Linked DNA regions of Rattus norvegicus. The protein of the gene in region 1 binds, or shares a complex with, the protein of each later gene. Links are inferred from orthologs where the notes say so. Each region holds a gene or a part of one and is shown on either strand. Other genes may lie near its edges.

Evidence for each region.
Region 2: Pigq (region 1) and Pigy share a complex: the UniProt entries of both Homo sapiens proteins name them as parts of the glycosylphosphatidylinositol-N-acetylglucosaminyltransferase (GPI-GnT) complex. The link is inferred for Rattus norvegicus from reciprocal best matches to the Homo sapiens genes PIGQ and PIGY.

What each region holds. Positions count from the first base shown.
Region 1 is NC_086028.1:15,456,401-15,460,210, reverse strand, and holds part of Pigq (phosphatidylinositol N-acetylglucosaminyltransferase subunit Q), read left to right. Parts: intron 1-2,140; 5' UTR 2,141-2,150; coding exon 2,151-2,839; intron 2,840-3,810. UniProt on the Homo sapiens protein: Part of the glycosylphosphatidylinositol-N-acetylglucosaminyltransferase (GPI-GnT) complex that catalyzes the transfer of N-acetylglucosamine from UDP-N-acetylglucosamine to phosphatidylinositol and participates in the first step of GPI biosynthesis.
Region 2 is NC_086026.1:28,964,929-28,968,574, forward strand, and holds Pigy (phosphatidylinositol N-acetylglucosaminyltransferase subunit Y), read left to right. Parts: upstream 1-1,496; 5' UTR 1,497-1,771; coding exon 1,772-1,987; 3' UTR 1,988-2,948; downstream 2,949-3,646. Other genes in the region: uncharacterized protein Pigyl1, read left to right, coding at 102-311, 547-1,185. UniProt on the Homo sapiens protein: Part of the glycosylphosphatidylinositol-N-acetylglucosaminyltransferase (GPI-GnT) complex that catalyzes the transfer of N-acetylglucosamine from UDP-N-acetylglucosamine to phosphatidylinositol and participates in the first step of GPI biosynthesis.

The DNA.
Region 1 (3,810 bases):
AAACCCTAGGTCTAATCCTCAGTGTCACAAAAACAAAAAGCTTTGCCAAGTTGTTCACGTGACGGTTTCTTTGGGCTGGTATGCTTGCAGGGAGGGAGCAGAAGTATCTGGGTTCCTCAAGCTCTGGGCATTTGTCTTTAGGACAGCTACCACCACCACTTGTGTTACCATCCGTCTGTCCTCTTCTCTCCAATTATTTTATGTGAACACTAGACCTGGAAACCAGGCTTCAGCCCAAGATCTGGGCCTCCCTCAGGAAAGGATCCAAAAATGGGGGTCTTTGCTCTGGGTGTCTTTCACTTCACATGGGCAAGATGTGGTATTGACTAAAGAAATGCCTATGTAGGCACCTGGACCTTGCCAAACATTCCAGCAGTTCAGTCCAGCAGGCACAAGCGAAGGAAACCCACAATCTCCAAATAGCTCCTTTCTGTGGAGGGAAAGGTGTAGGGTTCACAGAATAAAGGGTTTGTAGCTGCTGTGGTGGTTCTTGATGCTCAAAGGTCACACCAAGGGCCTTTGAGGAGTTCAAGGGCTAGTGTCCCCTCAGAAAATGCATTGACATTCTCTCATGGAGAGAAATACTGCTCTGCCGGGAGCCCTGTCTTGGGGTGTCTGTCAAGGATTTCAGAGGTGAGTAGAGGGCAGAGCAGAGGGAGCTCTACTACAGAGCTACATTTCCAGTCCCTTCTTTACTTGCCTTTCGAGACTGAGTCTCTGTGTCACATCTCTGAGGGGAAAGGTGTCCTGGAAGTCTGGTGCCAAGGAATAGCACAAAGTCACACCACACAACAAGCCTCATTCAAGAGATTTATTGGGAAAGACAGAAGGCAGCTACCTCGTTTTGGGCCAGAAGTAGCCAAGAACCGTGAGAGGCAATCTTGTATAGGATTTCTTGGGAGGGTGGGGTGGTGGACCAAGTTTTCCAGGGTGGGGATTGGTGGGATTTCAAATCCTGAGCTAGGGACAAGCTCAGGGATTGGTGAGTTTTCAGCGGCAGGAGGACATGCTCCCTGTTGCAGGAGAGGCTCCTTCAAGCAGGGGCCTGAGACTCAGCCTTAGGACCGGTGCTGTATCTGAGCCCCAAACCAAGTTTGTTTGGTTCACTTTTCTTTTTCTTTTTTTTATTGTCACTTTTATTTTTATTTTTGGTTATTTGGTGGTGTTTGAGATCAAATTCAGAATGTTGGCCATGCTAGGCAAGCCCTCTTCCATTGAAAACTATCCCTGACCCTCCAAAACAGGCTTAATACCTTTTCAGATTTACCTCATGTATGAGGTTTTGCCTGCGTGTATGTATGTGTAACCACACATGTGTCAGATCTGCTAGAATTGCAGTTATGAATGGTTATGAACCACCGTACCGGTGCTGGGAATCAAACTCAGGTCCTCTGCAAGAGCAACAAGTGCTCTTAACCTCTGAGCAGCTCTCCAGTCCCAGGTTTTAAAATTTTACCTTAACTCTTACTTAAGTAAATCCAGTTTGTTGCTGTTTGAGACAGAGCCTTATTGTGTATGCCAGGCTTCCCTGAAATTCATGTGTAGGCCTTGCTGGTCTTGAACTCGCAGTGATCTTCCTGCTTTAGCCGCCTAAGTATACTGAGATTATAGTCAAGAGCCATCTCCCCCAACCCCTTCTTCTTCTGAAGGCTAGTCTTGAACTCCTGGCACTCCTGCCTCCACCTCTCCACTGCTGGAATTACAGGTGTGTGTGCATTACACAGCTGGCTGGCTTCTGGTCTGTTATAGTTGTGCTTTGTGTACGTGCTCATACTGTGTGCTTTTACAGATGTCACTCATGAGGCCTTTCTCATGAAAGCCCTCAGGCTCAGCCCCACACTCCTCTCAGTCCACAGTATCTGTATCTCACTTTGCCTTGCTTTAGGCTGCGTGCCTTGGAACATGAGGAAGCACTGCCCAGCCATCACACATATGTCTGCTGTTTCCTGAGGCAGTGATTGGAAGAGTACAGGCTCTGTGAGATACGTAGCCATGACCTACCAAATCCCGAACTGTGTTTTTCCAACCTGTGGCCGGCCGGGTGAATGATCTGTAAGGGTGCTACAGCGTCTTGCAGCCACTGTGCTGCCAGCTACACAGTGGCAGCAGCTCTAAAACAACGCTCTCTCCTCTCTTGCAGGGCCCCCGGCATGGTGCTCAAGGCCTTCTTCCCCACATGCTGTGCCTCAGCAGACAGTGGCCTATTGGTGGGACGGTGGGTCCCAGGACAGAATAGTGCTGTGATCCTGGCTGTGGTGCACTTTCCCTTCATCCCCATCCAAGTCAAGGAGCTCCTGGCCCAGGTGCAGAAGGCTAGCCAAGTACAAGTGACTGTGCTAGGCACCTGGTGCCACCGTCAGCAGGAACCAGAGGAGAGCCTGGGGAAATTCCTAGAGGGCCTGGGTGCCATCTTCTCCCATAATCCCTGGTTGCAGCTATGCCGGGAGAAGGGCACCAGATTCTGGAGCTGCAAGGCCACTTACCATCAGATGTCTAGCACTCTGGACACACCCACTGAAGACCAGGTCATGCTCATTTTCTATGACCAGCGCAAGCTGCTGCTCTCCTGGCTGCATCCACCTCCGGTACTACCTGACTGCCAGATTGGAGACAGCACAGCCAGCACTGGAGGCCTAGCTGACATCTTTGACACAGTGGCACGCAGTGAGGTTCTCTTCCGAAATGACCAGTTTGATGAGGGACCTGTGCGCCTGAGCCACTGGCAATCAGAGGGAGTGGAGGCCAGTATACTTGTGGAGCTGGCAAAGCGGGCCTCTGGGCCTGTCTGCCTGCTGCTGGCTTCTCTGCTGTCCCTGATCTCAGCAGCCAGTGCTTGTCGGTAAGTGCCTCAGACAGGAAAGGTAGAATAAGAAACTGGTCCCTCGAGAACCACAGGCTCTCCCTTCAGTGTGCAGTGGCATCGATAGCCAGAGGGTCCCTCCTGAGGCTGGTGTTCCTGGGACCCAGTTCTCGTCTTCCCTTCCCTCCCTTTGCATGGTAGAGCATATCGTAGTAAAGGCTGCTGTTCCTGGAGACCGACTGTGTGAGGCCCACCTAGTTGGGTGTAGAATGAATCGCAGACAGTGCAAGCACCAAAGAGAGAACTCTGATGAGCACAAGCCTAGGTTATTGCACTCCTAAAATAATTATATGTAGCTGGACAGTGGAGATGCACACCTTTAACCCCAGCCCTCGGGAGGCAGAGGCAGGGGGATCTCTGTGAACTCAAGGCCAGCCTGGTCCACAAATCAAGTCCAGGACAGCCAGGGATATTATACAGAGAAACCCTGTCTCAAAAAAAAACTACGTATGTATGAATGTTTGTCTGCATTTATGTATCCTGTGCATCCCCAGTCAGAGAGAGGGTCATGTGGGTGCTAGGAATTAAACCTTGTCTTCTGCTTATCTCACTAATTTTTGTGTTTGGGACAGGGTCTCAGCTATATAGTCTTGGCTGGCCTGGAACTCGCTATGTGGACCAGGCTGGCCTCAAGTTCTGCCTGTGAGAGTGCAATACCTGCCTTGCCTGCAGTGACCTGTGAGGACACAGAACTGCCCACTCCCCTGCTTTTCTGTTTTCCCCACAGCTGGCTTCAGGGGCAGTTCCTCTCCAGGCCAGCCAGTTGTCTGGGGTGGTGGTACTCACCCATGATCTCTAGAATCATGGGTTGCTGGCCTGGTGAGCAGTTTGGAAAAGTCCCCAAGTCCTTGGAATGCTGGGTAACCCTAGGTTCTTTTAGTTTAGCTTGTGAATGAAGAATGAGGGCCTGGAGGCCCTTTTCTCTCAGAGATGATGTTCGTTCTCTCCTC
Region 2 (3,646 bases), on another chromosome or scaffold:
TAAATCCCCAACCCCAACATTCTCTCTTAAAATTGCATTTTACACTTTTTGCAGGAGTACACGCGGGTGTGCTGCAGTACATGCGTGGAGGTCAGAGGACAATGCGAGAAGAAAATAGGTTCTCCACCGTGGGGGTGGGGGTCCCCGAGGATCGAACTCAGTTACTAAGGCTTGGCAGGAAACGCCCGTACTCGCTGAGCCCTCTCATCGGCCCAAACTACTATTTTGACATTCACCAATTCAAACGTAAAACGACGGATCGGACTCGTTCCCCGCTGCTTCAGAGGCTGGGTGATGGTGGCTGCGACCAAGTTTGATTCAGGCTTCAAGTTTATCAGTTAGAAATGGGGAAAGCTTTTCAGCGCAGAAAGACACCGGTCTGCTCTGGAACGCCGTGAACACACTCTGCGGCAAATACGTTCCTCTCCAAGGTCCAGCAGTCCTGGCACACAGGACGCCCAGCCGGAGGCCGTGGGGTCCGGGGCAGGGAGGTCCTTATCAATCAGGGTCCTCTCAGCACCCCTCTGGCTTCACCCGTCACTCAAGACTACGGGGGCGGAGCCTGAGCGCCGGAGCGAAGGCGTGGTGCGCTGTCCAATGAGCACGCGCGGATCGGCTCCCTCGCGGGATCTGGGTTTCTTACCCCGCCCCCTCAGGGATTTGATTGGGCGGCTGGCCCGGGTGCTCCGCCTTCGTAGAGCGGTGACGGTCACAGCCAGGCGCAGCCGGGACCCGGACATTTACAGGCCAGTGAATGGTGAGTTCAGGGTCTCGAGATCCGATACGGGCGGAGGAGCTGTTGGAACCGGCTGGGACAGGACTCGCGCTAGCAAGGCGTCTGCGCCACGGACGCCTCCGGTTCCGCTTGGCTGGCTGGTTCACTTTCGATTCGGCCGGGTTCTCCTCTGCCCTGTTCGGCTTGGTCCGGTTCTCTCCGGCTTGGCTCGGTTCTCTCCGGCTTGGCTCGGTTCTCTCCGACCCGGCCATCGCTACCCTCGGTCAGCCAGAGACTGCAGCGGGACCCGGGTGCCCCTTCGCGTCCCCGAGGCGACTGGGCCCAGGGCTGGCGCTGTCTTCACTCTGTGCATTGACGACGGGCGGCTCGTGACGAGGCTCCGGGTTCCGGTGCTGGTCCCCAGCCGGTCCTCGTCGTACGGGAAGCCTCCACTCAGGTGTCTGAAGTGAATCTGGATTTGTAGGTCTCATTCCGCTTCCTCGGTTCGAGAAAACACTATCAGTCCACCTGTCCTTCATTCTGCTTTTCGAATTTCTTAGTTCCCAAAGAAATGGATGACACTTGAGTGTTTTGAAGGTTTGTTTTCTAGTCGGGCGTGGTGGCTTGGGAAGACTGATGCAAGAGGATCCCAATGTTTGAGGCCAGACTGCAAGTGACAGCAATCCTCCTGCCTTTAACCTGCTCAGTACTGTACAGGCTGTTTCCCCTTCTTTTCCTTTCCCTTCCCCTCATCTTGTCATCTTGCACTTTTCTCATACAGTAAGGAATCCTTTAGCCAGCGCTGCGAGGGACACGTGTGTTGTCTGCAGTCGCTGGTAACCGCTTCGTGTGGTGGTGGATTGGATCAGAACGAGGCTGAGGAGCCGTCACCCTCAGCCTGGGACCGCTGAAGTTTTTGTGTGCTCTTGGGAAGCATGCCTGGATGAAAGAGGAGTCCAGAGAAAGGGAAGATAAGACAGGAGTGCACCAGCACAAGAACATAACTTTGAAAACAACCGAGTTTTCTTGAACTGTATACCTTCAGAAGGGAGGAGGATGATCCTGTCTCTGCCCACCCTGACTGTCCTCATCCCGCTCATCTCCCTGGCGGGCCTGTTCTACTCCGCCTCTGTGGAAGAAAACTTCCCAGAGGGCTGTACCAGCGCCAGCAGCCTGTGCTTCTACAGTTTGCTTCTGCCGGTCACCGTACCGGTGTACGTGTTCTTCCACCTGTGGACTTGGATGGGCCTGAAGCTCTTCAGACATAACTAGGGTAGCTGAGGCCCCGCTTGTGCACGGGGCAAGAGGCTCCTGGTTGTTGGGTTCTGCCCTCAGGTGTTGCAGATTCTCCTGTTAGTGCTGTAGCTGAAAAACACTTACAATAAATATGTCCCAAGGGAGAGGAACATGACCGGTCTTCATCCGAAGACTGTTTTTTCTAAGATTTATTCTTAATTATGTGGATATGAGTGTGGGTCCCCAAAGAGGCCACACGAGGGTTGGAGGTACGAGCAACTGTAAGACTGCCGGAGCTTTACTCAGATCCTCTGCAAGGGCAAGCAAGTTCATGTCCTTAACCCCTGAGCATCTCTCCACCTGCCTGTTTCCTCCCTTCCCTTAGTTCTGGCTAACCTCAAACTGTGAGAGGCAGACCTTGACCTCCTTACCTTCCTGTCTCTACCTCCTGAGTGCTGAAGTTATAGGCAAGCATTGCCGCATGTGTTTATGTGGTCTGGCAGAACCCAGGTCGTGAACGCTAAGTCGGCACTCTGCCAGCCAACCACCCTGAGGACTGTGTTGTTGTTGTTGTTGTTTTGAGTCCATTCATTTAAAAGTCCGTCATTTGGAAGCCGAGCAGTGGTGGCACTCACCTTTACTCCCAGCACTCGGGAGACAGAGGTGGATCTCTTGAGTTTGGGCCAGCACAACGAGACTGTAAAAATAATAATTTGGGATTTTGTTTCAGCTTCAAGGTCAGTGGTGAGGTGTTGGATCTGCTGAGACAAGGGTTTCAGATGGTTGGGAACTACTGTGTGGGTGCTGAAGAAAATCCAGTGCTCAGGGATGACTCCTTTGAGGAGCTGAGTGGTCCGTAGGTTGGTGGCTCACAACTGCCTGTATTTCCAGTTCCAGAGGCTCTGACTCCCTCTGCTGGACTCTGGGTACCTGCACACCTGTGACATGTCTATTCATTCACACACATTAATAAATTTATTTTTAAGAGGGAAAAAAATCTGACTATAAACTTACCTTCATTGTTTTTTCTTTTACATTTATTTTTTTTCTTTTCTTTTTTTTCAGAGCTGGGGACCGAACCCAGGGCCTTGCACTTGCTAGGCAAGCGCTCTACCACTGAGCTAAATCCCCAACCCCTCTTTTACATTTATTTATATGAGTACACTCTAGCTGTCTTCAGACACACCAGAAGAGGGCATTGGGTCCCATTACAGATGGTTGTGAGCCACCATGTGGTTGCTGGGAATTGAACTCAGGACCTCTGGAAGAGCAGCCAGTGCTCTTAACCACTGAGCCATCTCTCCAGCCCCTACCATCATTTTTTCAGTGTCAGGTGAGCAAGGTCAGTGTTGGTGTTTTCTGGTTCTTGGATTCTTATTCAAGGAATAAAGGCCCATATACAGATTTTCAAAGTTGCAAGGAAATTTCACTCAAAGCAGAGCTAGATCAGGCATGCAGATACATGAGCCTATGGGGGCTCTTCTTACTCAACCACGACACCTGTTCTCCCAGCCTAAATTCCTCTGACTCCTTATGACTCCCTGTACCTCTAAGTTCAGAGGCTCTGCCTCCAAAAGCACTGTACTCAGGTTTTTAACACACACCCCTAAAAATAAACACAAAGTTTTCAAAAAAGAGAACATGTTTTCTTTGGCTGAAAGCCGTCCATCCTTGCTTGAAGGTAAGCCAGAGATG